Linked DNA regions of Pelodiscus sinensis. The protein of the gene in region 3 purifies or fractionates together with the protein of the main gene of each other region. This does not show direct contact. Links are inferred from orthologs where the notes say so. Each region holds a gene or a part of one and is shown on either strand. Other genes may lie near its edges.

Evidence for each region.
Region 1: the proteins of SPAST (region 3) and NUP43 purify together in Homo sapiens (affinity purification with mass spectrometry; 3 studies listed by BioGRID and IntAct, counting the BioPlex papers as one, with this or other methods). This does not show direct contact. The link is inferred for Pelodiscus sinensis from reciprocal best matches to the Homo sapiens genes SPAST and NUP43.
Region 2: the proteins of SPAST (region 3) and NUP133 purify together in Homo sapiens (affinity purification with mass spectrometry; 3 studies listed by BioGRID and IntAct, counting the BioPlex papers as one, with this or other methods). This does not show direct contact. The link is inferred for Pelodiscus sinensis from reciprocal best matches to the Homo sapiens genes SPAST and NUP133.

What each region holds. Positions count from the first base shown.
Region 1 is NC_134713.1:106,457,977-106,468,036, reverse strand, and holds the start of NUP43 (nucleoporin Nup43), read left to right. Parts: upstream 1-5,953; 5' UTR 5,954-6,061; coding exon 6,062-6,181; intron 6,182-7,084; coding exon 7,085-7,207; intron 7,208-7,467; coding exon 7,468-7,545; intron 7,546-8,563; coding exon 8,564-8,744; intron 8,745-10,060. Other genes in the region: PCMT1 (protein-L-isoaspartate(D-aspartate) O-methyltransferase), read right to left, coding at 285-516. UniProt on the Homo sapiens protein: Component of the Nup107-160 subcomplex of the nuclear pore complex (NPC). The Nup107-160 subcomplex is required for the assembly of a functional NPC.
Region 2 is NC_134713.1:123,319,349-123,329,177, reverse strand, and holds the start of NUP133 (nuclear pore complex protein Nup133), read right to left. Parts: upstream 4,033-9,829; 5' UTR 3,958-4,032; coding exon 3,782-3,957; intron 1,951-3,781; coding exon 1,832-1,950; intron 1-1,831. UniProt on the Homo sapiens protein: Involved in poly(A)+ RNA transport. Involved in nephrogenesis.
Region 3 is NC_134713.1:134,313,119-134,323,376, reverse strand, and holds the start of SPAST (spastin), read right to left. Parts: upstream 4,426-10,258; 5' UTR 4,094-4,425; coding exon 3,676-4,093; intron 857-3,675; coding exon 770-856; intron 1-769. UniProt on the Homo sapiens protein: ATP-dependent microtubule severing protein that specifically recognizes and cuts microtubules that are polyglutamylated.

The DNA.
Region 1 (10,060 bases), about 28 Mb from region 3:
CGGGTCGAGCCTGAGCCACCGCCGCATCGCCAACAGCAGCGGCGGGCCCCCAGGGCGGGGCAGGTCCCTCCCTTCCCCCTTCAACACACAGACGCGGCTGCGGCCCCGCGCCCACAAGAGCCGGGTCCCTCGCCAGCGCGCCCCGCCCCGCCCGCTCAGTGACAGTTGGTCTCTTCCCAGCCCAGGAGGCAACGTGACGTGCTTGGGGCCGGTAACGGCCGAGGAGGGGGGTTCGAGCTGTACACGCCGCGGCCCCTCCCTCGCCTGGCCAGCCGCAGACTCACTGCGTAAGTTGTGGATGAGCTCGGAGTGGCTGGAGCCTCCCGACTTCCAGGCCATGGCCAGACACACTCTGCGGAGCAGGTACAGAGCCGCCTTCAGCGCCGCGACTGCGCACAAGAGCTTGCCTAGGAACGACACAACCTCTAGCGCCGACCCAGGCGCCGCCTCCTCTCCTCCAGCCGCGCGCCCGCCAGGGGGAGGGGCCGCGCGCCCACCGCCCCGCGCGCCCGACATTCTCAACGGCCGCCACCCGCTTGCTCTGCGCATGCGCACCCGTAGAAGGGCAAGGGAACGCCATGGGGAGGGGGTTGAATAGCTTCGCTGAGGGGGGCGTCGGGAGGAGGTGTCGCAGCGTTCTCGCTGCCTCGTGATTTTAGCTGCTGCTCACGTATTCACTGCACGGGAGGATGTGTGAGGCCTGCATAGGGAGAGGCTGGGACAGGCAGTCGGGGTTAGGGGGGAGCAGCGGGTACAACCCCACTCTTCACTCCAGCAAAGACTGGAGTGTTTGACATTTGGGGCTTTGTTCAGGCCAATCTGTTATACAGGCAAGGGCAGAGATGTGAAGTTTGAACCTAATGCCAGGCTCCTCCAGAATGTGCAGAAGTGCTGTGGTTCTGGGGCTGGCCCATAGTTATTAAATGGACTGTGACAGCGAAGGTGGAGTTTACAGCTTTTTCTGTGACTTCCATCCTGGCAGTAGATGAGTGACAAACATGATCATTTTCTGCAGTGTCCTTGAAAAAACCGGATAAAACTAAGTCTCGGTGGAGTCCAAGAATGCAAAAGTTATATATGCTTGTAGGTCAGTATTATATGTACCATGCCTAGGGGGCAAATGTGTACCTTGGGACATTATTGATTGCTGTGTAATTACTATGATTATATAGCAGGAACTGGCAAGATATGGCCTGCAGGCTGGATAAAACCACAAAACCTTTTAATGTGGCCTGTGGCCCACCCCGTGATACGGAACACCTCTGCTCAATGCAGCTGATTGCTCCCTCTGGCTCTCTGCACTGCAGGAGTAGGAAAGGGAGAAGGAGGCTTCTCATGTTGCCTCTGCCTCCAGCAACATTTCTCTGCTCCGATTGGCTGGAAACTGATTTGCTGGGGGGCAGCACATGAAGCTTCCCTCTGCAGCGCATAGAGCCACATGGAGCTTTGAGTGGTCAGGGGCTGTATCCCTGCCTGAAAGTGCTGCTGGCTGGGAGCTGCATAGGCACCCCACCTCCATCCACGTTCCAATTCCCTCCCGGATTCTGCACCCTTTCCTACACTTGTCCTTCAGGCCAGAATCCTGCACCAGGTCACCAAATGCTCTACACCCTCCTGTCTCTCACCCCAGGTTACAATTCCTTCCCAGAACCTGCACCCTCTCCTACGCCCTTCCCTAGCCAGAAACCTGACCTGCATCCATACCCCCTCCCAGATCCTGCACCCCAATCCCTTGCCCCAGGTCACAACCCCCTCCTCCCAAATTCCCTCTCAGACCCCAGACCTTTTACATCCCAGTCTCCTGCCCCAAGTTTCCTTCTGCACTCAATTTCCATCCCAGAACCGCACCCCCTCTATAGAAAAGTGCAACCCTTGATTACTTACTAAAATTTTGAAGTGGCCTCCCCATCAAAAATTATTGCCCACCCTTGCTGTACAGCTAATCTGTGTCATTCTATTGATTGTAATGAGTCAGTGTTTTGAGGACAGTTAAATACATGACAGAGTACAGGCAGTCCCCGGTTACGTACAAGATAGGGACTGTAGGTTTGTTCTTAAGTTGAATCTGTATGTAAGTCGGAACTGGCGTCCAGATTCAGCCGCTGCTGAAACTGACTGCCAGTTCTGACTTACATACAGAATCAACTTAAGAACCGCAAGCGTCCCCAAGTCCGCTGCCAGCTTCCCCGAGGCTTTGCATAGCCGCGGGGCGGGGGGGCTCGGCCAGCAGGGCATCCCAGGCGTGCCTGGGCTGCCCCGCTGCCCGAGCCCCTCCGCGGCTTTGCTCTGCGTCTTCCTGGTCTGCAGACCAGGGAGACGCAGAGAAAGCCCCAGAGTACACGGGCGGCAGGACCGCAAGGTCCCGCAGTCCGTGTACTCGGGGCAGCCTCGTTCGTAACTGCGGATCCGACGTAAGTCGGGGACTGCCTGTATCTCATTGCTAGACTACTTGGTCCACTTGTCACTGACCTTTAAAGATTCTATGGCTGCATGCTAGCTTAGATATCAGTACTTGAAAGACTTCACATGGCATTGCTATCTTGTCTGCACAACAACTGAGGCAGGTGCATTCGGGACATCTTAAAGTGCACACACATACAATGGGCCTCAAGGAATAGGCTCTCCCTTTACATAACATAGATGTCACTAACACAGACCTCTAAGCAAGTACAGTGAAAGCTTTGTTATCCAGCACATGTGGAGAATGCGGGTTGCCAGTGTGAATATGCCGGATAACAAAATGTATCACCCTGCCCCACTGACACATCTAGCTCCTGACAGCTTGAGGCAGGCTGAGAGGGAAGGAGGCACCTGCTGATGATGTCAGTTGGCAGCGCAGGTTGTCAGAAGCCCTGCAACGGCTGGCTGGACAGGCAGGAGTCAGGTGCACGTGCCTGAAGTGGTATTGTTGCTGGGGGCAGTTAAAGTTTTCCAGTTAGCATAGTGCCAGATAACACATTTTTCATTGTAATTCAATTGTAAATTATGTATTAGAGTAACCAGTATTACTTGTCAATAGAAAGTTTAGTGTTTATATATGATTAAAAAAAACTAAGGAAATTTTCAGAAAAGAACTTTAAGGCTGTTTTGTAGTGATACCACAAGGGGGAAAATATGTAAAAGAAAACAAATTAAGGTTTCAACAGAAGTTAATTTAATCTCGTCTGGGACATCAGACATTCAAATACCATCATAACTATATGATTATTGCATGCTGTCATTACAGGGCCGAGTAAAGGTTGGTTGGGTGCCTACATTGCATTTTTGTATTTTAACATGTTTGGGTTTCTCTGAATTTCAAGAGTTTATAATGCTTGTTTTTGTGATTATTACAGGTCTTCTAATTTTTTTTCTTCTCTTAAGTTACCAATGCATGTTCCCAGCCTTTACTGCATCTTAACGTACTTTTTGTCTGAGAATTTATACTGGTTTGACATTTAATTAAGGCTTATAGCCCTTGTTCCAAGCAGTTAAATTCGCCCCCAAAATGACAACAGACTCCCTAAATTGGGAACTGGGAAAGTGACAACGGTGAACTGTGGAGTGGAAATGTGGGGGCTATGAGAGTGATTGCATCTAGCAACATATCAACTCATTCCTTTAAGATATTTAATTTAGATAACATTAGGGAGTATAGTTTAAAACTCCATCCAACCCTAGGGCAACATAGGATTTCTGCTTTTAAATGGCCTACAAAAATCTACATTAAATTAACTGCAAAATTAGGAAATACCAAATTAACATTAGACTGAGCTATGAGTCAGGGCTATGGATATGCTACAGACCTAACAGTGGTGCAGCTGCACCAAACTAAAGGTTCTAAAAATAGATTTAATCATTAAAGGAAAAAGAAAGAAGAGAAATACAAGTGATTAGAAGATCAATATACAGACAAGTGACTTCCAAAGTTCATCATTCAGGATCAGAGCAGTGATGGAATGAACTGCTAGCTTGCAAAATAGTATCTACAAGCTAATTTGTTTATATTGTTAAACTTCTGACAAGATATACATGTAAATACAGATGAATGCCCTACCTTTGATTTCTGTTACTATAAATAAATGAATTGATTATTGCTAGTCGAATACATCTATTTGACACTAGTGTCTTCTGTTAAGTTCTTACGGGTCGTAAACAGACTGACTGGTCTGTCAGTGTCACAAAATAAAGTATAATTCAAGGCAGAGTGGCCTGTTAACTGCTCTGCAGTTATAGGACAAAAAGAGGGGAGTACATGTTGTTGACATATCTCCACTGCTACAGTGACCAATACCTACCACCTCACCTTGGAACCCATACCTGGTATCTTCAGACAATTACAACCCATACTCAATGGGGGACCTCCATCCTAAAAGCTATATTTCCAGAACTTCCACTCCTGGCCTTCAAACAACTTCCCAACCTTTCTGAGATCATCATAAAAAATAAGCTCCCCCTACACTAGGACACACCAACTTAAAATCAATAAGAAGTCCGGTGGCATCTTAAAGATTAACAGATTTATTTGGGCAGAGTGTTTTTGCCCATAAAAGCTTATGCCCAAATAAATCTGTTTGTCTTTAAAGTGCCACAGGATTTCTCATTGTTTTTGTAAATATCAGCTCAAAGTGGCACCAGAGCCTGCCAGAATTACAGCTGCAAAACCTAGACACATATCTCTACTACTACAGTGATCAACTTTCCACACAACACATCTTTCAAGATATAGGGATCCTACATATGCCTATTACAACATACGATATACCTCATCCAGTGAATGAACTATGTGACTCAAAACATACAAACATTATGCTCTCAAACTCACACAGGAAAATGATAAAATACAAAAATGCCTTATCACCTCTGGTTGAACACTTCAGTGATCGCTCTATTTCTGACCTCTCAATTCTCATCCTCAAAGGACACCTGGCCCTTTTAAATTTCTGGGCTCTAGGGTAGTAATAGAAATGTAGCCATATTAGTCTGGTGTAGCTGAAGCAAAATACAGGACTATGTAGCACTTTAAAGACCATCTTGTTAGTCTTTAAAGTGCTACATAGTCCTGTATTTTGCTTGGGCTCTAGGGTAGTTGCTTTTTTTTGCTCCCACCATCTCATCTCCCCCCTCCCTACTATGTCAGTAATAGACCTAAAAGCATCAATGTCAGCTAAGTACAAATCCCAACAGGTGGTTACTTTCTTAGTAGTATACGGTACTAGTCCACTTTCACCTGTGGTATTAATGGCTAATCTGCAGGTCCAGAGTTGGCATGCTACACCGTAAATGTGGTCAGCAGGATCCTGTTTGAGATTTTTGTGAAGCTCTGTTAGGCTGTGTCTACATTGGCATGATCTTGCAGAAATACTCTTTAATGCAAGAGTTCTTGCGTTAAAAGCATTTGTGCAAGAGAGCGTCTACACTGGCATGTGCCTTTGCGCAAGAGATGTGCTTTTGCGCAAAAGCATCCGTGCCAGCGTAGACGCTCTCTTGTTCAAGAAAGCTCTGATGGCCATTTTAACCATAGGGCTTTCTTGCGCAAGAAATTCATGTTGCCTGTCTACACGGGCCTCTTGCGCAAGAACAGTTGCACAAGAGGGCTTATTCCTGAGCAAGAGCATCATAGTTCTTGCACAAGAAGCACTGAGTTCACACATTAGAACTCAGTGTTCTAGCACAAGAACTCCCCACCAGTGTGGACAGGCAGCATGTATTTATGCAAAAGTGTGTGCTTTGGTGCAAGATCATGCCACTGTAGACACAGCCTTAGGGTTTGGAGGAACCATATGGGTTAAATGCAAAATGACCTATGAGCACGAAGCTGGCCTAGGAAACAGGCAGGCGTACAGTGCAGTCCCCGCCCCAGGCAAGGTTCCATTTACTCCCGTCATGTCCCGCCCACCTCTGAGCGTAGTTGCTGCCACAGAGATTTGTACCTCCTCTCTTGCCGTCTGCCGGGAGGCTTCAGCCAATCGGGGAGAGCTTGGGCGGAAGAGGCGGGGTGACGGCAGCGGGAGCCTATCGGGGCTGCGGACGAAGTTTGTGCTTCTCGGTGGCGCTTGTCCCTTTCGTTGCCGCCGCCAGCATGGAGGATTTTTCCGCCAAATTCGTGTCCCAGAAGATCAGTAAGACGCGCTGGCGGCCGGTGCCCGCTGCCGCCCTGCAGCCCCCCGAGCTCTTCGCTACCGGCTCCTGGGACAACGAGGTACCGGCCCGTGGAGCCTCTAAATCCGCCCCCGCGCTGCTGTCGCGCCCCTGCCCGTGGGCTCGAGCCGTTATTAGAGCGCGTCTCGCTCCGCGCTGCCAGGGGCTCCCGGGTGGGCCGCTGCTCAGCGTTTGTGGGGGGCGGCGCGTTTGTAACAAGTGTCATCAGCGGGGGGTGCCGGGCGAGGCCGCGTTTGCCCCTTGCTGCGCCTCGTGTTGCAGCGGTGCCCCGGACCCCTCTTCTCTGAGCGGTGCCCGGAGCCGCCTCCCTCCTCCCTGCCACGGGGTTGGCGTGGTTTTCTGTATTTTCATATCCTACCGGTGGTACACGGGCTTTCAGCTTTCTCAGTTAAATAAGCTGAGCGCTATGTAGCTAATTGTGTGAGATCTTAACAGCTAAGCTCCTAGTTTCTCATCGTGAAGGCTGAAGCTCCTTGCTGCACAGTCTCTGTGTGTGTTTCGTTTGCCTGGCTTAATGACCAAAATTTCCTCCTCTTCCGTGTGTGGTGTGGACTGGCTCTCTCCTCCTTGGAACTGGCTGCATTTGGTGATGTAGATTTTATTAATGCTTAGCATTTTTCGAGATTAATATGCTGTGTAAATACACACCAAATATGGAATATTAATTTTCTTGTATATTTAATCTATCTCTATCAAAATGTAATAGTTTGTTAGTCTCTTTAGGAAGAGAGAAAATTGAGTTGACTTATTGTTTCTATTGTAGCTGTAGCTTTGTTGGTCTCAGGCTATTAGACATGAATGAAGTAATATATTTTATTGGACCAGCTTTTCTTTCTGACAATATTTTTGTAGCACAACATTCTACCTCTGCCATCTTGTCTCAACTGACTTTTATGGCAAGTGTGTCTTAAAATAAGCTTGTTTCACTACTCTTGTCATACAGGAAAACAAGATCTCAATTTGGTCTGTTGGAGACTTTGGAAATGTGGGCACCAGTGGGGAGTATCAAGGAGAACCACAGTTGCTGTGCGATATCAGACACCATGGTGATGTTATGGACATGCAGGTAAAATAGTTATATCCAGTAGCTGTTTTTTTTTTTTCCTTTCACTTTGTTAGAAAATGTATCAGTAGGATATCAGAATATTGAGAATCAACTAATGTCTGCTAGGGGGATATTGTCTAAATACAAAAAAATTATGTTTGGAAATTTATATGTACATTCTGAAATTATCTAGCAACCAGTAAGACTCACAGATTCACATAGTAATGCTTCTGTGATAATGTGCTCAAACTGTGTAACAAGCTTAAGATATTTCTCTTTAGTTTTTTGACCAGGAGAGAATTGTAGTTGCTTCATCAACAGGAAGTGTAACAATTTTCCGTCACCATCAAAATAATCAGGTAAATAATTTGTTGTGGACATAACTTTCTCTTGGTTTCAGTTACTGTTGCTTCTAGTACAAGTTTTTTTGGGGCTCTCAAATGCATGACTTTTCAGAACTATCAAAACATAACGCAGCTGAACTCAATTAGGGATATAAGTGACTAGTCAACTACCCGATATACATAAGCTTATCAGATAGTCAAGTAGTCACTCGACTAGTTGCTTCTCCCCCCTCCTAAAGCCAGATGGCCCCAGCACTGTCTCCACGGAGTAGCAGGGGAGGCAGAGGCATCCCTACTGTTGCATGCCTCTCTGAAATGTACAAGAGCCACTTGCGGCTCTTCTACATTTAAAGGGAGAGGCGCAGCGGGATTGCAAGTGCCCCCTGTTATCGACTAATTGAGCAGTTGATGGGAACTCCATCAGCTACTTGATTAGTTGATTAATCAACATTTAATATCTCTAAACTCAATAAGTTCTAAATTCAGTAAATCAGGAATTAGGTTATTTTTTAAAAAATGTGTAGAATAGTCTGATATAGGGATGTAACTGTATAATTGTTTACATGGTTAACTGATAGGCCTGGACTATCGATTACCATTAATGATTACACGCAGACTCCTGCCTTGCTCCCGGGGAGCTAGCTGTCACTCCACACTGATGGCTCTGTATCAACAGTTACACAATTACCCAGTTACCCCTTTTTAACACTGTGAGATAATGTTCCTGTCTATTGGTCACACTGACTCTTAAGAATAGAGCACTGAAAGATCACTGTGTCTGTCCATGGATATTCACATCTGCTGATAGAAATGTCTATCTGCACAGGACTCTATGCATTGGTGATTAAAAAGGAAAGCTATCCTCTGATCTGTAATGATGTGAATGACTCTTGAAATAATGCAGTGTGCTTTGTTTATTTCAGAACTAGTTTCTGATCTAACTTCTTTACATATTTCAAAAGCTTTGGTTTCTAACGCTGTTGCAGGATTGTTAATTAGCACTGTTGATACAGTCTCTTTATTTACTGCTTAGACTTTATCTATTAATCAACGATGGGAGAGGGCTCATTATCATGTGGATCCGGATATCCCTTTCTGTGGTGGAGCTTCATGTACAGGGGTCATCTGCAACAATCCAGAAATTGTCACTGTTGGAGAAGATGGTCGAATAAATCTTTTCAGAGCTGACCACAAGGAGGCTGTGAGAACTATAGGTAAGGCTAATAACCACTTTTTAACAAATGGGGTCTAAAGAATTTATCTGTACTCACAAAATGACCAACAAAAAAAGAAATAGCTAGTAACTTCAGAATTGTTCTGAATGTCTCAATAGAATCTGTAATGAGCAATACACTGGATCTAGAATATTTGCTATTTTACACTGCATTTAATCAATGCAAAAAATTCAGGCTTAGAACTACCTGCACGCATGCTTTTTTCCCAGCTTCTGCAGTCTTGCATTATTTGTCAGTTCTTTAAAATATATTTAAAAATATTTCCTTTTGAAACATAATTATCAAGATCTTGACCATAAGTGGTCAGTATGAACCCATTCTTCTTTCAGAGATGGTTTTTCTTTGTTCTGGACAAATTCCAATTTTTGTAATTTTGTTTTGTTAGCTTCTGGTATTACATTGGTCCTTCAGTTCTCTTGCAATTTTTTTGTGGTTCTGCGGTTTTCTCTGTTTGTGGGACACCCTTATTTGTACAGAAGAAACAATCCTCATAAGAGGTGAAATATATGAAGTAAACTGAAAAATATTTTTTCTCTAATTTTTCTGTAATAATAATACTGGATCAGTCCCTCACTTAAATATCTAACAGATTTTCAGATACATGTGTGTAGGAAGAGGTTAGGTAACTTTTCTTTACTTCTCAGGCAATGTTCCTTCTAATGTTTTATGGTCCGTGTACGGAATGCATTTTGTGTTCTCCAATACAGAAATGATGTGTGACACAACATGTCCATATTGGTGCATATAAATTCCGTGCACATTCTGCCTACTTAATAATCTTACTGTTAAAAAGCAGCTGCAATATAGGATTATTTACCATTCCATTCCTAATCGGGGGAGGGTGGAGGATTTTCTGTTTAGCTGATATGTTCAACATATGCTAAGCAGTCAGAGTGCTATACTCTCTCTCTCTCTCTCTCTCTCTCGCTCTCTCTCAAAAAACAAAAACAAAAGCTTTTCCTGCCACATGACAGGATGATGTCATCAGGCTCTCTGGCCATGAAAGTGGGGGATTGGCGAGCATAGCAAGCGGGGTTTTCATGACCAGAGAGCAAGGAGTTGGTGAGCTGAGTAAGCAGGGAGCATCCCCTAGTGTGACAATATTTGTATTAAAATCTACTGCACAACAGGGGATCTTAAAAAAAATATTTCCCTGGCCTTTTTAATGAAGGGACAGAATATGTGTTAAAAAGAAAAGATGTGCTAGGAAGGATTTTCTTTAAAGGAAATTTGTGCGTATGAGCTAGTCTGTGAAACTTGTCTTAAGTGACACTCTGTGAACCAGCATCATATGC
Region 2 (9,829 bases), about 11 Mb from region 3:
TACCATTATGTGGAACTGGGTCATATCATAGAATCATAGAATACTAGGACTGGAAGGGACCTCGAGAGGTCTTCAATGTATTTATGTTTTAACAGTTTGGATTATGTGTTCCTAAAGAACTATTAAAGCACCTAAAGTTTGAGATATTTACAAAATAAATGAAAGATAAAAAAGCTAGGCAAACCTATATACAACTTAATTTCTTTACTCAGTCCTTTGAATTTGACACACACAATTCTCTTTTAGACACCATATTAGGCATTTTTAATATTCTTCTAACCATCTAACCTGTAGGTGTCAATTTCAAAAATAAGACTCTCATTAACTTTGTCCATAAAGGATCCAGCTCCTTCATCTTTCCTAGATTCAGCTATTTATAATTGAAAAGTATTTTTTTAATGTTAGTTCAGTTTTGTTTCTGAAGGAAGACTTTTTCATACAGTTGTGCATTACAGTCTTGAAACAGACCCATTTTATCTCATTCTAATAATTTTCATTAGCATAATTCGCAAGTCTTGAATTTTACAAGCCACTTGTATTTGTTACTAGAAGATTTACCTGGCACTGCTCAGGTCCTTAACACACGTAATTTTTGTTTTTCCCTCACTTGAATCATTGCTCTGAGGTAGGGCTGGGAATGAAGGGTTCAGTGTGCAGGCTACCTCGGGGAGAGAGGACTAGCCCAAAGCCGCCTCTCACTGCAGCAGACTGGGGCCAGGTGAGAAGTGCCTCCCCATGGATGCTGCAGCTCCAGCGGGCATAGCAGAGGGAGAGATGCATGTCCCCCCCACCCCTGCTATGGCAGGTACGGGTTCATCTGCCCCATGCTACCAACCAGAGTGCAGAATGCAACAAACTGCGCATTTTCCTCTCTTGACAAAAGGGAACAGCCAGCAATGTTCCCATACGAAAAGGAGGGTGGGAGCTTCAACCCCCTCCCCAGTCCTGCCTAAAGGGCGTCTGGGGGTGAGGGGAAAGGCACACAACTGGGGCAGTCTTGGACGAGGTAACATATCCCTAGCTGGCCCCTTTCACCTGCCTTGTGATTCTCTCTTGTCTATATGGTTTTATGAGAAGCAATCCCATTCTGGGTACAGCCCGTGTCCCTGGAACAACCAAACCCTTACCTTGGTTTAAGATATGATAAGTGGAAGCTGCATACAAATTTGGACTAGTTCTTACCGTTTAGGAAGAATTCTTAAATAGAGAGACAGACTCATGCACAAACGCTCTCAAATATATCGTAGATTGTTTTGAAATTAAAGAATCTGGATCAATGGATACATTCCTATTACATATAAAAATACAGACCTGTGCAATGCACCTTTTCAGCACAATTGATATCAAACATGAAGTGCAAAACAAGGAAAAAGTAAGGATGGTTGTTCTTTTTTAACTTAAGACTTTGTAAATGACTGTTACCAGTGGCCTAAACATTTCTTTCTTAAGCTTACCTAAAACTGTGAGTGGCAATATTTAAACAACTGAATATATGGATCAGCAACCTTAATTTTGACTGTTTTTGTTGTGCTTGGTCTGTACAGTACTCTCCAAATATAATTAAATAGTTTTGCTTTTCACAAAAAGTCCAGTACTGAATTGATATCCAGATGACTGACATTTGAAAGAAAATAACTGAATTGTTCTGATCATGAACAATTACAGTCTTACGTGTTTTGAAGCTTATAAATGCTCTAGCAAGAGACTTCTTATATACAATTAAAAAGGTGTTCTCTTCTCCTCCTCCTTGCTCAAAAATATCTATTTAAAAGTATAAAGAGATTACCGTATTTCCTTTATCTGATCTAATTCCCATGTAATCATTCCTTACCTTCAGCCATTCTTAGGGCCTCCATAACCTTAACAGGGAGAGAGGATCCAAAAGTCTTAACGTCATAGTTGATAGTTTCACTGGCTGAAGGATGTTGTAATACTCTTGTGGGTGTTGCTCTAAAAAAAATATACACATAAACTGTGATTGATTTGTTTCCATTATGTCTCCTGCAATTTTAAGATATACTTATTTCATTTTCAATTATTTAAAAGATACTTGATTGAATGGCCAAGTTTGTGAAAAACAGGCACAAGTGCATATCTTTAGGAGCTAACATTCAAGTCACTAAAGGAGGTTTCCCTTCTTATATTAATTTGAATGGAATAATGGGCCAAAGGTGTTAACATAAACCAGTGACAATCCAACAATAAAATATTAAAAACAAAGTTTCGGGTTTGGCATACAGTGACTTCAGCCTGTTTAGTACCACAATATGCATCACAAAGTCTTTTCAACTTTTTATTAAAGACATAGAAAAGAAAGAAAAGAGTTAAAACATTTGAAATGTACAGGCAGTCCCCGGGTTACGTACAAGATAGGGACTGCAGGTTTGTTCTTAAGTTGAATTTGTATGTAAGTCGGAACTGGTATATATAGTAGGGGAAACTCTAGCGAAACATTTCTCCAGAGCTCAGTTTTATTCTCCCACACCTCACTTCCCTCAGTCCTTTATTCTCAAGCTGAGGTGTCTGCTGAGAAAAGCCGCTCCGCGTCTCCCTGGTCTGCTGGGGGGGCGGGGGGGGGGGGTGCTAGCTTCGCGTCTCCCTGGTCTACTGGGGGGAAGCTGCTAGTGTGGGGTTGCCTCACCCCGTTTGTAAGTAGGGATCCGATGTAAGTCGGATCCATGTAACCCGGGGACTGCCTGTAATGCATTCAACAAGATTTTCATTTCAACGTTATTTGTTCCCTTTCTCTTTAGCTGGAAAAAGTTTTAGAAGACAAAAATCCTTTGTTTGTGAGCCTTTTAGATAATAATAAAGATAGTATTATCTGTCCTGTTGGGTAAGAGAGCAGTTGACCAATGCCAGGTGCAGCTATTACTGCTATTAGAAGTTTAAAACTAATTTTGGGAAAAAGAAAAGAAGTTTGTTGATACGGGCTGGAACTAGGGATGTGAATGGTTAACCCCGACACCCTGTATTGCTGCTGCCTCTGTATCAGAGGCAGGGATGTGAGGTGGCAGGTAGAGTTGGTCTAAAAATTGGCTCCCCACGCAGACCAGTTCCCACCTGCAGCCTGCTGACTCGGATACAGAGTAAAGATGTTAAATATCAGTTAACTGAATAGCCAATTAACCGAATGAATTCTTATTGATTACTTGACTATTCTATAGCTCCCGGGGGTAAGGCCAACAGCCAGGGTGCTCCAGCCCCTCTCCCAGGGAGCCGCCTGCCACTCTGTGCTGCTGCCTCTGTAGCATAGGCAGCAGTGCTGGGTGCCAGGCGGGAGCTAGTCCACAAGGGAAGCCAGTTTAATAAACAGCTCCCCTCATGGACCAGATGCCTGCTGCCCCATGCTGCTGTCTCTGATACAGAGGCAGCAGCTCAGCGTGGCAGCAGCCCGTCGGGAACAGGGGGGTCTGAGCTCACGGATGCGGCACAAGACAGAACCGAGCCAGGCTGCCCGCCTGGCTCCTAATGCACTTTAAAGGCAGAGCCGCAGCAGGGGAACCAGCGCGTGCTGGGCTGCTGGCCAGGCTGCTAAACAGTTTACTGGGGGGGGAGGGGGGGTCGTGTGGGGGGGAGGGGGGGTCGTGTGGTCTGTAGCACTAACCTGAAAGCTTTTGCTTACGGGTTAATCGATAACACTGATCCATCCCCAACAGCCGGGGGAGGGGTGACTCCGCGGAGCCGGGGGGGGGCGGTTTTTAAGTGCCCCCCGCATCAGTTTCCGCTTTACCCCCCCCCCCGCGCGGTGTGGGGCGCTAAGGCCCCGCGGGGCACTCACCGCGCCGAGAGGGAGCCGCTCCGCCTCCCCGCCGGGGAGAAGAGCCCCGGGGAAGCGGCCGCCGGCACCAGGCTCTTCCTGCCGCCCGGCCGGGGGATGGAGACGGCGGCGGGCCCGAGGGTCCTGCGGGCCGATCCGCCCGGGGTGCGCGGGGAGCCGGGGGCGGCAGGGAACATGGTGGGCGGCGGGGGGGGGGGGGCGAGGAAGCGGCGCGAACCCAGCAGCGCCTGAACGATCAACCGCCGAGGCCTCGCGCGCGCGCCGCTGACGTACAGGAGCTGCACGCTCCGCTCCGGGCGTCGCAGCTGCCTACGTCACACTCCCGGCCCCGAGACAGGGCGGGGTCAGCTGGGACGCAGGCGCGCGCCTCCTGCTCTAGGGAGGAAGGCGGGGGCCCGGAACGGCGGGGTGGCTCGCGCTGCAGGATCCAGCCCCTGAGCGGAGCGGGGCAGGGGGCGGCTGGCACAGCCTGGCTTCTGCACCACGCGGGCCAGTGGCGGTGACTGCAGCGCGGGGGGAGCCCACGTGACATGTCGGGGAGCGGAACTCTGGCTGGGGCAGCCCCAGCCGCCCTCTCCTGCTGCACAGCCCTCGGCGCCGGGGGCCGTCTCAGCAGAAAGGAGCGGGCTGGGCGGCGTTGGAGTGTGTCCGCTCACACGAGCTCAGTCCATCAGCGTCTTACTCTGGGGCTTGGCTTAAACTTTGGTGTTAGGCAGGGCAGCTTTAGGGGCAGGTGCTGGGCGGGGGCTTTTTTTCTTTTCTTAACAGCAAAAGGGAGACTAGGATGTCGGAAGTATCATGTTTCAGGTATTCCCTCCCTGGATTCATTTCTCACTGACCGCTAAGAGCGTTTTGGACCTTTTGTAGAAAATCGTGGAACCTTGCAGACTTTCTGAGAACTATGTGGACAGAACCTCTGGTGCACCTTTGTCATCATACATGATCATGCATCAAACTTATGGAATAAGCTACCAAGCCAATAAAACATAAGTTATTCAAAAGTTTAACAAATGAAGGTGGGGGGCTGAAGACACTCCTTGCGTGGAGCATCATTTGGGCTAGGACCTGCCCTGGTGTCAGGCCATCCCCCTTTCATTCCCAGTGAAAAGAAAAAAAAAACAGAGATTTCCCTACCCCCCCAACTCCCTGAATTTCCCCATCATTCATCCAGTGGTCAACTGGTAACATGCAGGGCTCCCCATTTAGTTTGTTGGAAATTTACTTAAAATTGAAAGAAGGCACATACAGCTGTGTTTTATGCCAGTTTCAGTGGATTCCTTTCAGTGATGTTGGCCAACCTAATAATTGCAAAATACGATTTGTAAATAAGGTGGGAATGAGCTTTCCCCTGACAGCCAGTAATGAGCAGGGACGCATGAGGGAAAGGCTTCCAGATCAGACTTTGTTGACATAAACATACCTACTCTGCCTAGGTATCCAGCAGACAGACCTGTGTTGCCCAAGTGATCAATCTTGGCTATAAATCACTTGAATGTGGGATAGTGATAGAAATGTAGCCGTGTTAGTCTGCGGTAGCTGAAGCAAAATGCAGGACAATGTAGCACTTTAAAGACTAACAAGATGGTTTATTAGATGATGAGCTTTCGTGGGCCAGACCCACTTCCTCAGATCAAATAGTGGAAGAATAGTGGTGACTATTTTCTTCCACTATTTGATCTGAGGAAGTGGGTCTGGCCCACGAAAGCTCATCATCTAATAAACCATCTTGTTAGTCTTTAAAGTGCTACATTGTCCTGCATTTTGCTTGAATGTGGGAGTAATTAAATGTTATTCTTATTTGAGTAACGGGCAGCGAAACTGTTCTTAGTTTGTCCTGACCAAGGGGATCACCCACAGTGCTTAATTAGTGCCAGTGTTTGCCAAAGCTATGCCCTAGCACATTATGGGCTAAGTAATGCCTAAAAAGAGAAGAGCCTATGGAGCCTAATCAGTTCTATCTTTAAAAAGAAAGAGGCAGGTCAAACAGAGCCTGAGATTCTTAGGCAGAGCTGACACTTTTAAATTTTCTTTTTGTTCTCAAATTCAGGACTTTGTCCCTCAGAAGATTGCAAAGAGTTAACAGTCTTTCTCTCAGAGACTTTTTTTGGAAAGCTCATCTTTCAAAGCTTAACCTAATAAGAAAAAGGAGCACACACTGATGTTACTACAACTATCGGTTTATTTACTGGAGGCGGGAGGTAGGAAGAGTAGGGTAGGAAGGAAGGGAGGATTAAAGATACTGAACAACTACAGTACACAAACACACACTCATACAGGTGAAAGAGAGATCTGATGCATTGTTTTTACCTTTTCCAGATGCCAAAGGTCTGACCGGACCAATGGACCACAAGCACAAATATGATGTTGATGAAGGACTCAGGTAAGTACCCTATCTATATACCCACCCTGATTGTATGTCTGTCCTATCTAACTTGGATGAATTCTGTGTATGGGAGTGCGCTCCTTCTCAAAATAGCAAAACCCCAACAATGCAAAAATGTTATTCCAAAACTATGAAAGCTAAGCTGTCATTCAGGCTAATGACCAGTGTCCTAATACAGAAGCTCTCCACTGAACACCCTTCTCTGTCTCCATTCATTGGGAGCTGCAGGCTGTCATGCTTTCAGATACTCAAGGACACAGTTCTGGTGAGTAGGCTTGTTTCAAAAGTTTTGGACTTGGTATGCTCCAAAGATACTCAGAAATGGGGCTTGTGCAAGTCATGTTTGCTTTTTGGATATGAAGCTTAACAGAACTCCAATTTTAAAACACAGGCATATTTAATACAACTTTTAACCACTGAGCCACTTAACTTTCAAAATATATTGCACCTGGTGCAAACGCTGTTTTCACTGTCCTGTAGGACTGCAGTGATAGAATATGAAGTTCTTATAAGGAACTTAATCAAAATAAGCACGTACATATGTCTACCGGAAAACACACTCCAGGACTTGATACAGCAAACACAAAACTAAACCTGCTATTTTTTTTCCGGGTCTGGAGCACCCACGAAGTTAGAGCCTGTGTTCAACACTAACTGTTGTGACCAAGAGGCACAAAAGATGAATTCCTACTTCCTTCATCCAGGAAACATACCACAAAGATTGTGTCAAATCCTTAGTTATGATGAAGAAATTGAATCAATCCTTCATTCATTCATCATTTGATATTTCATTCTGTGTTCAAATTCTCTATTCTGTCCTTATCACATAGCAAATCCATTGCTGGTAGTGCCTCACTCCATTCGACTGTTTGTTTTATAAGACAGGCATCTATAAAAGCTACATAGAGGTTGAGTAGAATCCAGAAATTGCAGTTGTAGATCTGTAAGAATCAAATCCATTTATTTGTGCAGCTGCCTTAACAAACACTTCTTGTCCTCTTAATCAATAGAAGTGCCTTAATTAATCAACTTGTGAACGGAAGTCTTTGCTTTTTCCAGTACATTTTCAATCAGTTATACTGTCATCCAAATGTAGCTTTTACTGCTGGGCAAAGATCTACTATTGTGCTTTGTGCGCTCCCTCTGCATCCAATCAAAGCACTGCTACAGTTCAGTCAGCACATCCTGCAAATTCTAGGTACATACGGGCAGTTAACCAAAATGTTCTCCCAAAATAGTGTAGTTTTGCTATGACTATCTTGCGGCCTACTGGGACCACTCATGCAGCCCACTTACTAGCCCAGGTCACCTATTGCTGAACAAATCTAACCAAGGCTGCCAACAGTTGGAAGAAGCAAGACTGAGGGATTACTGACTAAGGGGATGGTTGTGCAGAACAGGCAATTGCCTGGTGCATCCATGACTGAGAAAAACCTAGGAAGGAGGCTGACTAAAGAGGCTTGGGAAAGTAAACAGAAAACCCTGCCTCTTGTGTCTTCCTTGGGGAAATAGGCCTTTGTATGTTCCTTGTAAATAAATGGGGGGGCGGGGGACAAATCAAATAAAAGTACCTATCCCTCACTCCCACGTAACTAGGGTAACCTGCAACACATCAAATTTGACCTGAGTGGCTAGGCAAATCATTCTGAAGAAGTGGGTTGTGCCCACAAAATCTCATGATACCATCTACGTGTTTTGTTAGTCTTTAAGGTGCTACTAGACTACTTGTTTTTTAAGTTTTTCCTGTTACAGACTAACTCAGCTACCCCTCTGGAGCTTAATGGCATAAATAGTCCCTCATCCAATCCAGTATTGCATCTCTAATCGTGGCATTTATCAGATCTGCCACAGGAATGATCCACCTTTTCTTACATGGGCTCCATATATGATTTTCCCCAAACTAATCCTCCCCCAAAACACCCAAGTCCTTTAGATAATTCCCAGGATGCATCAAAATAGTTGCTTTGGAAATCAGTGTAATGGTTTATAAGGCATACATAGCAGCAGCAGACAACGGTAACTAAATACACTAATTTCAGTGAAAATTACAAATAACTAAATCAGTTCATTGCAGTGAAAATTAGGCACCCATGACTACTTGCTAAGAAAGCCTCCGAAGATACAAGCTACTGTTTCAGAGGGAGGCAAACTAATAATCCAGTGAAACACGCCATACTTCTAAAATACCCTTTACTGAGGGCATGTTATTTATTTTTGGCCTGATGATAACTGTTGCACAACAATGTGCTGTTTTACTCACCCTTCATCTTGATGACATTAGAAATAAGGAAAGCGAAGTTATAGAAAAAATGGATATGCAGTACATATTAGGACATTTAACTTTTCCATTCAAAGCAGACATTTAACTACACTACTTTGTATGAAGAATACAGATTTGGGGAAAGTACACTCACAACATCTACCCTAGGGAGAGTAAAATTGAATTGTCTGGGGATTTTTAACAATCTGTTACTCAGTTAACGAGAGAAAATTAAAGGGTTTTAAAGGCATTTTTTCATATCACTTTTTAAAATGTATACCTTGCTAACAGCTGGTTTGCATCAGTCACACTTTTCACAAAATCATTGCTAGTATTCTTCAAACATACCTTCAAAGAAATTAGGTTGCAAATCAGCAAAGCTATTGTTTTTTCTCCCATCTTTTCCATTATATTAATAATTCTCCCACATTAGAAAAATCTGCTACTACTTATAGTGTTTAAAAACGTAATAGGATTGAAGCTACCCAGTAGGATTAAAATTGATTTGGAGAGATGAAGAGATCATTTAAGCTGCATCTCCATGGGTAGATACTTATAACAACAGACCCCAAGCATCTGTGAAGAACCACGTGGATAACCTCAAAACAGGCTACCCCACCAAACATGACCACAAGCTTGGAACTAAGTCACTTGGTTGATGCCGAGCAGCCACCAGGGTGCAGCACGAAGGGGAAACCAGAGGCCCCTATTTTTATGATGATGTCATTGACAGGCTCCCCAGCATCAGGAACATACACATCATATGCTCAAATAGGGAGGGCAGAGATGGACCCTGCTAATTCCACATCCATATCCAAGTAGCACCTTTCAACCCCACTGCACACAATAGCACTTCTTCATACTCCACATGCCATGGGGAAATTCAGGATGCTCCCTGACCTTCTCACCCCCATTCCACCGTCTTCCAAAACCTTCATATGCTCTCAGAATTAAACAAATGATGAAACAGAGCAGCTTTCATAGAGTTAAATGTGCTGCAATATTTGCTTCTACGCCATTAAGCTTCCAAAACCAAGTTGCATTCTTATGTTCGTTGCTTTGGTTGGATTACACACTGCATCTTATATTTGAGCCGTGGCACACTGAGAGGTATGGCACCTGGCCAATTGTACAGCATGAAGGTATAGCATATAAGGAATTGCTTATTCACCCTCACAAGGGGATTAGCTTCTTGTTTTAAGGGATAAGTTTAACGGTTCTTGAGCCAGATTCCCAATAAGGGACATATTTACACAAGTTGTGGATCTGGCCCACTGGCTATTAATAGGCTTACTTTTGCTTCAAAACAGACAAATCTTCCTTAGCATAATTTGAAGCCAATAGAGCTCTGCTGATTTATAGTAATCGAGAATCCAGTTCTTGAGAGAAACAGCACTTACTGTTC
Region 3 (10,258 bases):
TCTGTTTCACTATTTTAAGATACAGGACTATGCTTACTATTTTCCCCTCAAGAAGTTACTGCAGAAATGAGCGAATTTAAATTATAAAAAATAAAAATAAAAAAAATAAAATCAGTGAGCCAAAAAAAAAAAAACCCCTAAAAAAAACCAACACATTGGAACTCTGACTTCTTAGAAATATTTCTTCAGATTATATACAACATATCAATTTAAAGCCAGAGTAGCAGGCTTTTTATACATTATATGCTTATCATAATATGGAGAAAGTAAATGGAGGTAAGTAGTTATCTGGAGAGAATGTCTGCTGCATTAAAAACATTCTGCATGTGCTTCTCCACAATACTCTACAAACCAACCACTTACCTGAAGAATGAAATATGGTGCGTAACTCTCCCACTTTCCTGGCCACATCTAGACTTGCTGGAAGACCAACACTGCGGCGGTGGATCTTCTGCTGTTCGATTTAGTGGGTCTAGTAAAGACCCGCTAAATCAAAAGCTGAAAGCACCACTATCGACTGCAGTGCTCCTCGCTGTTGCGAGGAATAAGAGAAGTCAACAAGAGCATGTCTACTGTCAATCTCTCAGTGTAGGAATGGCACCAAAGTCTGTCTTAAGATAGGTCAACTCCAACTACATTATTTACTTGGCTGGAATTGCATATCTTAAGCCAACCTTTCCCTGCAGTATAGGCCTGGGGTGAAAAAAAATGCCAGGAAGTGATAGTCATAAAAAAGGTATAACTTTACACATACACAAAATCAGCTTACCTTGACCAATAACCAAGACAGCTATTCCTTTCTCCAGTTCTTCAATTCCCTTCTTATACCATTCAACAGCTTGTTCCTTTTGCCCTGCTTAAAATGGAAATGGGCCACTTACTTTCTGTAGTAGATTATAATGAAAAGGAATTTTTCTGCAAGATATGCAAAACAAGTGCTATGCACAATTACACAGGTGAGTAAAATTACACAATTGGGCAAATATTGCTTCATAAACATTTCTAAATAGACTTCACAGCTGATCAATGTCAAACACACACACACAAAACCAAAAAGAACCCCACCACCACTGAGTTCATAATTTTGTGTGATACCTGCTACAAGTCTGAATCACTTTTGCTTGTTTCCATACATTTTCTCCCTAACATCTTTCCTAATCTTCCATTTACATACAGCAGTGGTTCAAAAATTTTGGCCCATGGCCAAACCTGCTCAACGCAAACCTTTCCATGGACCACCAGCCAACCACCCACAATGATGAAATGGGTGCAGGAGTGGGTGTGACCACAAGGTAGGGGAAAGAGGAATGTAAATGAAGCTGATCAAACATTCAAATGAAGCGCGGATTTACAAGTCTCCCAAGTTATTGCTGCAGAGCTAACCAAGTCTGACCCTTTCATAATATACTAAACTTACAGTCTGTATACAGTCTCTATTTTGATTTTAAAGAAGAAAACAATTTTTACTTCCTGCTGCTATGCAGATTCATAGTTTCATTAAGTCTTCACACTTTAAAATCATGCTGAATGTTTCCATGAAAATGTAAAGCCCATCAAAGTACCCATGACTCTCCTCCTTGAACACTGCCAAGACTGTACTGCTGCAAGTAGACGGATACTGAAGTCAGTGATTTTCAACCTGAGGCCCATCAACACAGAGCTGTGCAGCCCATGTGACATCTTCAGGGACTTACAGGTAGCAATGAATGCATCCCAGAGTGGTAAAGAGGTTGAGAACCACTGTTGTCAGTCAAATACACTGGCAACAGCTTTTGTTTGTTCTCATTTTTAAATCTCAAACAAAATTTTCCTCAACTTCTTATTTTATTCTGAATTAGTTGTTTCAGAGTTGTTTAAGTATCTAAGCAAAAGTAAAATAATTATAAGACTTAATTTTAGAGGAAAATACAATGTTATGAGTTTAATTGCTAAATATTGTCTTATATACATATAAGACAGAATACATATCACACAAATAATTTACAAAATAAGAGTATGCTATAAATCTTATGCTAGACCCCAAAATAAATCACTGTTCCTTATTATTCATGCCTAAATAATTAATGATGCAACAACTTAGTTCTGAATATGAACATGAGTTTCCCCTCCTTAATCAAGGTCTATGAATTAAATTCAAAATAAACAATTTTCAGAAGACAATTTCAAAGACTTATTTTTTTGGGGAAAAAACACCTTGTATTTGTGCACATCTTTTAGAAACTAGATAACCTTACTGCATCCTTCAACTGTTGTAGTGCTAACACTGAAAACAAAAAAATGTGTGAAGAAGAGGCATAAAGTGGAGTGAAGGCTAAAATTGTGTATACTAAAGCTATCCCTTCACACCTAAACATGAGGTTCAATCTCCTATCAAGCACTGAATTTAAATGTAGTTTTGCCACATCTATTTTACATAGCTATGACGTATCACTATCTTTAAAAAATAATTAAATTAGACCTTTCGCTACACACCTAGGCTGAAATCCTAGTACCACTGGTCAAGACTTCATGTTTAAGCTTTAACTCTAATACGTTTTGTAACGTGCCTAGTGTGGCATTTGCATCCGTGAGGTCCTGGAGGGATGGGTGTTCATACCCTTCCCCCAAGTCCAGCTCCTGTTCCATCCACTGCCCTCCCATTACAGCCCTTCCCTCAAGCCGCTTCCTGCAAGGGATGTAGCCTTGAGGGGCCTAGCAAGAAGCAGGATGTAACCTGGGGGCCCTAGCAAGAAGAGGCAGCAAGGATCATTGACCCCACCTTCCCCCCCCCCACACACACACACACATTCACTCACCACCATGGTAAGAGCTGTAGGTAAGTGGAGTGATGCAGCAGCCGCTTCTCTGCTCCAATGCCATCTCTTAGGCCAGCCCAGTCCCGCAGCTTCACCGTGGTGGCAGGAAGCAGAGTGCCCTAGCCAAGGGAGGGCTGGCTTGGGAGATGGCAGCAGAGTGGAGCAGGCTGCTGCACAGCTTTGCTTCCCTATGGTTCCTGCTGTTGGGGTGAGTATGGGCATGCTCAGCCCCTGCTGCCAGCCACAGCCAGCCCACAGCCCCACAGGCTAACCTGAGTGTGGGTGACCACACTACCCATAGGACAGTTGCCGGGGAGGGAGGGAACCACTGCAGGGTGCCCCAAAGCTTAGAGCAACCGTTTTGAACTGTCCTATGAGCAGGACAGCTCCGCACATAGGTCAGAGCTGGCAGCCAGAATCAGCTCTAGTCCCACTATGCCTGTTGGTGTGGGGGCGGGGAACATGTGGCAGATGGGGCTGGGAGATGCATGGGGGTGAAAACATGGACACTTCCACCCACCCCAAGAGCTTTGCCAAAGGGGGCGGGGGTGCCTGCTGGCTCACTAGTAGGATCTGAGGACTGGCACTGATCCTAAAGAAAATTAAGGGTGACCTAAACCCTGAGCCCATCTGAGCCATCAGCTGTCAGCAGCACCTTCTCTAGGCAGAGGCGCCTCACGGATGCTAAACTAATGTGCAACACAGACAGGGCACAGCTGGGACCAAGGATGAGGGGGCGCATAACACCCGGATATAGGGCTAGGACCTTCCTCCCCCCCCCCCATTCAAGGGAATCGCCACCAGTAACGGCCCCCCCCCCCCCCCCCGATCCACTCAGGCCTCGCTCCCCACCCGCCCTGGCTCCCGCTCGCGCCCCCACCTCTCTCGTCCTCGTCGATGCGCAGCGCCACGGAGATGCACTCGAAGGCCCGCTTGTGACAGGCTCGCACGGTCTCGGGCGCCCCGCCGGGCTCGGGCGCGTCGCCGGCCCCGGCCCTGCCCTTGGCGGCCATGAGGGCGCCCCGGGAGAGGCGCTCGCAGAGCCAGGCGAAGAGCAGCCCGAGCTGGAAGGCGACGAAGCGCAGCAGCGCGAAGGCAGCGAAGAGCGGGTAGGAGAAGTAATAGAGGTTCCGCTTATGGGGAGACGCCGCGGCCGCCCCCGCCGCCGCCTGCTGCTGCTGCTGCTGCAGGGGGGGAGCCGGCCCGGCCGGGGAGGAAGGGGAGACCCCGGGAGCCTGCGGCGGGGAGCTGGAGCCGGCTGAGCCCTTCTTCTTCCCTCTGCCGCCCGGAGAATTCATTCACCGCCGTCGCCATAACCCGCTGCCAGCCACTGACAACAACCGGCCATGGCGGCGGCTACGCCCCTTTTAGCCAGCCCCGGCGAGCCGGGCCGCGGGGAGAGTGCGCAGAGGCCCTTTCTGAATACGGGGAAGCGCAGCCACCGCCCCTAGCGGGCGGTTATTGTTGACATGCCGTCGCGAGAGGCAGGCAGCCAAGGCGACAATGGGAGGTGTGGTTAGCGCACCGGCTGGGTGCGGAGACTCCATCTCCCAAAATGCAGCAAGTCTCTGGCCGCATGGCATGCCGGGTATTGTAGTCCGGCTTGGCCTTTTGGCGAAAACGCTCAGGGAATCCGCTGGGAGGGCGCATTGCATGTTGGGACATGTAGTCTTCTCTGACCGCACTGTATACCCGGAGCTGTTGCAGTGCCAAGCCGGACCGTTGTTGCTGGGAAAGGAGGGACATCCTGCCCTGGGGCCCGCTCGGATTTGTAGTGCGCACGCGCACGTCAGGAGCCGCGCCCCTAGCCAGCTGTCGCTGCGGAGCCTGTCATTTCGCACTGATGAGACCGGGAGTCTGCAGAAAATGGGTCATCTGGTCTGGTGCCTGCATTGGATGATGGGGGTGAGGGGGCAGTACAAAAGGGGTTTGGCAACAGGGAATACGTGCGGCCGATGTTCCTGAGATAGAAGATCAGGTCCCTGGCTGTGATCATTTTTCTCACGCCCATATACAGACCCTTTATGTCGCAAATAAAGGACAACTTGGAAATTATGGGAGAAGGTTTGTCTTGAAGGGCACCTGCCCCGTGTTTTATTTGTGACACCAGGGCCGGATTAACGGGGAGGGGGGTGCTAGCTGGGCAGCTGCCCGGGGTGCCAACCTATCAGGTGCCGCATGCCCGGGACCAGGTGCCACGCGGCACCCCTTACAGCTGCAATCGGGCGCTGCGTGCCTGCTGCCCGGGACGCAGGAATGGCTCGAGCTGGCCCTGTGTGACACATACCGATATACAAATAACACATTGTATTACAGTGTACAGTCCTTTTGCATGATTATTGGTGTATATGAGCCAATAATTATAGATATATGTAATAATAGGGAATATTCAGTACAAAATGAAGGACAGGTGGACATTCTACCTGTGACCTAACACATTCCTCTCAACGTACTTTGGGACAAATCGGGATACAGTACGGGGGAAAACTTGAAATGAAGAACACTAGAAAATGTATTGGTTAGCAGGATGATAAAATAAGGAGAGGTCAGTTTCTACTGAATTACATTTTATGCAACCTCATCTTAATGTTAAAGTGCTATAATGAATTCATAAAATAACAGCAATACAGCTTTATAGTAGTGTGCTCATCTTTAAGTGCACCAAAGGCCCAATCCAACTTCAAATGATGTAAAAAACAATGCAATGTGACCAAGAGCAGGCCTTCAGAGTCCAGTTCTCCAAAGACTTACTAAACAGAATAGCCTTTGCAGTAACAAAGGCACTCAGGTTCAGTAACAAAGGCACTCAGGTTCAGGTCTTAAGTTCCTTACAGGCTGAGGCTAAGTCTACACTACAAAGTTTTTGCGCAAAAACAGTTGTTTTTGTGCAAAAACCTGCAGAGCGTCCACACTTCAAATGAACTCTTGCGCTATTAAATGGGCAGTTAAATGGCAGAACAAAGGGCTTTTTCCACTGTAGGTAAACCTCTTTTTCTGAGGCATAACTGCTTTTAACGCTACAGCTATTGTGCAAGAAGGCAAGTGTGGATGCTCCAGAGGGAAAAAGCACAGGTGCTCTGATATCCATTCTGTGAACCAAAGGCCCAAGCCAACTATGAATGGCCATCAGAGCTTTCTTGTGCAAGAGCATCCATTCAGTGTGAACGCTCTCTTTCGATGTACTTTTGCGATGTGCGTTGAGGTGTGGACGTGCTCTTGCGCAAAAAGGTTTTGTGCAAAAACTCTTGTGCAAAAGGCTTCTTGCGCAAGAAGCATGAAGTGTAGATGTAGCCTGAGAGGGGTTTTTTGGGGGGGAGGGGCAAAGGCAGGGATGTTTCAAAGCTACTGAAATGTAATAGACTGAGATAATTTGAAATTAACCAAGTGGAAACATGATAAATAACGTATTTAAAATTAGGAGCAGTTGGAATCTTGCTAATTGAACTCTTTGTGACCCATAAAAGCAATCAACATATAATACAGACAAATCATATCTCATTACATTAAAATCATGTTTATATTATTTCAATTAGCAGGCTGCACAGAACTGCTACTTTTTTCTGAAAATCACATAATTAGAGATGTATGATATCTTGTAGATTATCTGGTCTATCCTCCTGCCATTGTAGGATTGCTCTCTAGACTATATTCTCAAGTGCTTGTCTAATCAAATTTTATTTGACTGAAATCCTGGAGCATCTTACACTTCTTTTGGAAGATATTACACAATTCCTCCCTGTCAACGTTAAAAATAAAACGTATGATATCACCCCTTAAGGAGTGTGTGTAGGAGATTAACCAGGATTATTTTCAGATTTTTTTTTATGTTCCTTGCTCTGGAGTGACAAAAATCATAGTCATTTAAAAAATGTATTATATCAGAAACTATGAAGAGATTTTAAATTTGGTCAATTTCCTCCACCCACACCCTGCTTCATGTTTTTAGAGGGGGACAACTGGGTTCTTTGCTATACTATAAGTAGGGCTATACTTTTAAGCCGGCTCCCTCCAGCACTGGCTCCTGCTGCCCCCGTTGCTGTCTCTAATAAAGGCTGCGGGGGGGAGGAGGGGGGGGAGGAAGGAAGCAACTAGTTGACTAGTCGCTTACATCCCTACTTGTTACAACAGTGTGTTGGCTCTCTTGTCTTAATTAAATAAGTAAAAGAGAAGAAAAGTAGTTATAAAAAAATTTGTAGTGACATCAAAAATATATCTGGCTAGTGGCTTAGGCCTACATGCTGCAGCTGGATCCATGCAACTGTATCTTGCACCTGCATGTAGACTGTTGACTTCAACGGGATTCAGCCTATGCACATCATAGCCTTATCTTGAAAATATGAATTTATGAGGTTTGATATAACCTGATCATTTCAAAATCGTGCCACTTTAATCAACATAATATTTCTAAGATCTGGACTGTTCAACCTTTGCTGCTTGAGAAGGCTGTTGTTCAAACACTCATAATCTCGCATCTGAACCTGACTAGATGCTTAGTGCTTGCCTTTTTTTTTCAGAATACTGAGACTTGAATACTTCATATGTTCAAAGCACAACTGCCTTGAATGTCAGTTGCTCTGGTGATAGTTCGCACATCTGACCCCAGTGTTTCAAGCTGGACACCCAGAAAATAAATCCAGAAAGAACCCTACTAAGAATCCCCTCAACTGGGGAACTGGGTGGGTTGCTGGCTACCAGGCAGCTGATATTTTTTCCAAGTACTGTAACTCTAAGAAGAGAGGGGGGAAGTCGCTTAAAAATAACTCTGGCAAACTAATTTTGGCTCTAATACCACAATCATAGCTTCAGTGGGATTTATGCAGAATTCATAGCAAGATTGGGGAGGGAAAATATCATCTGTTTTTTTGCTAATTAACCAATTCCACCAATTATTTCACAAAAGAATACAGACCACATATTTTAAAACTGGCAAAATAATATTCAATTAAATAGATTGAAATAACAGCAAGAGAAGTGCTTACTCCAGTATCAAGTGTTTGTACCTAAAGGGCAGTATCACCATCAAATTTGAATTAGTAACATGGAGTTCTTTGTGCCTTGACTATTACAGATTTCTTTCTGCTTTAGCCTTATATGGTTCTCTGCTGGTGTTTTTGAGGGTGATACTTGCCATGATTGCAATGCCTTTTATTAATGATAATATAGCAAACCGAGGGAGGGGAAAAAACCAGCTGTTAGAACCCTGATCCCTGGGATGAGTTTGTGCTGCTAAAAGATAGACAAGACATCATTTTACCTGCCCACATTGAGATAGTGTCTGACCTAGACCTGGAGTTGCATGAAAGTCACTAATACGAAACCATACCCTTACAATATGTGGGATTGTCATGCTGTAACCTCTTTCTGGGAGGTGAATTCACATGAAAGCAGCTCTGAAAGCTGAGTCTCCACTGACCGAGGACAACAATGTGGAGGTATAGTGGGGGGTGGGGGGGAGAAGTTAAAGGATCGTTTCTTTATTGGACTGTGTTTCAGTGAGTTTGCTCCATAATGCTAGATTTGTGACTGGAAGAATTTATAAAAATAAATACTTCCTAGTAGGCCAAGAATTTTAAAATGCATTATTTGCCATGGCTATTATCTCACAGTGTTGCTATCTTGAGAGGTCATTATCTCGTGAAGTTTCTGTACTAAACACGTATATTATTATAATTATTTTTACATAAGAATGACTATACTGGGTCAGACCAATAGTCCATCCAGACTAGTATATTGTCTTGTAACAGTGGCCTAGACCAGGTGTCCAAGAGGGAAAAGGGAATGAACAGAGCAGCAATGCTCAAGTCATTCATCCGGTCCCAGCTTCGGACAGATGCTGGAGATACTCAGAGCATGGTGTTGCATCCCTGGCTAATAGTCCTTTTTTAACCCTGTTATAGTTTTCGCCTTCACAGCATCCCCTGGCAAAGAGTTCCACAGGTTGATTGTATATTGTCTGAAGAAAGACTTCCTTTTGTTTTTTTTTAAACCTGAGGCTTATTAATATAATTATATGACCCCCTAATTCTTGTCTTATGTTAAGGATTAAATAACACTTTTTTATTCACTTTCTTCTTCATACCAGTCAATGTTTTATAGACCTCTATTATATACCCTTAGTTGTCCTTTTTTCCCAGCTGAAAAGTCCCAGTCATTTTAATGTTTTGAACACCCAATCATTTTAGTAGCCCTTATCTATATCTTTTACCAGGCTGCACACAATATTCAAGAAGTGTGCATACTAAGGATTTATATAGCAGCTTTTTGATATTTTCTGTTCTATCCCTTTCTTAATGGTACTTAACATCCCATTAGCTTTGACTGCTGCTGCACATTGAGTGGATATTTTCAGAGAACTATCTACAACAGTGGTCTCCATCCTTTTTATGCACGAGATCACTTTTTGAATTTAAGTGCAATCCAAGATCTACCTCATATATAAATACCCTTGTCCCTTCTCCAAGGCCCCGCCCCTGCTACCTCCAACCTCCCTCTCTTGCCCATCCTCACTCACTTTGATGAGGCTGGGGCAGAGGGTTAGGGTGCAGGCTCTGGTCTTGGATTAACGGGACTGGAGAGTGAGAGGGGTTCTGAGCTGCTCTTGGGGCAGGCAGTTGGGATACAGGGGTGGTTGGGGCTAGGGCAAGGACTTGGGGTCCATGGGGGGGTCATGACGGGGGTAGGGTTTCAGGATGTGGGCTCCAGCTGGGCACTGCATACCACAGGTGGCTCCTGGGTGGTGGTGCAGTGTGGCTAAGGCAGAGTCACACCTGCCCTGACCCTGCACCACTCCCAAAAGCAGCCAGCAAACTCCATTCCAAGTCCTGTTGTATCTCTCTTTGTGAAGAAAGGATACAGAATGGGAGGGGGCATCTTGATAACAGCACCCCTTCTTTCCCTACCCAGAAAGCAGGAGACTCGGGGGGGGGGGCAGGTCCAAGACAAAGGGCAGGAGATGAGTAGCAGTGGAGGGAGTGCAGCTGAAGTGCTGGCATTTGATAGCCTCTTGGCCAAACCAGTCAAGATCACCTGACAGAGTCTGGTGACCACTGATCTACAATGACACCAACATCTTATTGAGTAATAACAACGGTTAGACCCAACAATTTCCAGGTGTAGTTGAAATTGTATTTTCCAGTGGGCACTACTTTGCATTTATCACACAGCCCCACCCTTCACCGGGTCTGACACCCCCCCTTTCCTCCCGCACCCGTAAGTTTAATTCCTAGGGAAATCATTGACACAATTGCTATACTGCGCCTCTTTGACTCCAGAGCAGCGGCGCAGAATCACGCGCCACGCCCCTGCAGAACCATGCGCTGCCCGACCCCATGCTAGACGGGCCGCGGCTGCAACAAGACCAAGCCAGCAGACCTCAATGGGCGGGGCTATAGCCACTGACGTATCTGATGATGCTCGGGGGCCAGCAGCCCCTGACTTTTTCCTTGCCCGGCCGAAAAGGGGCG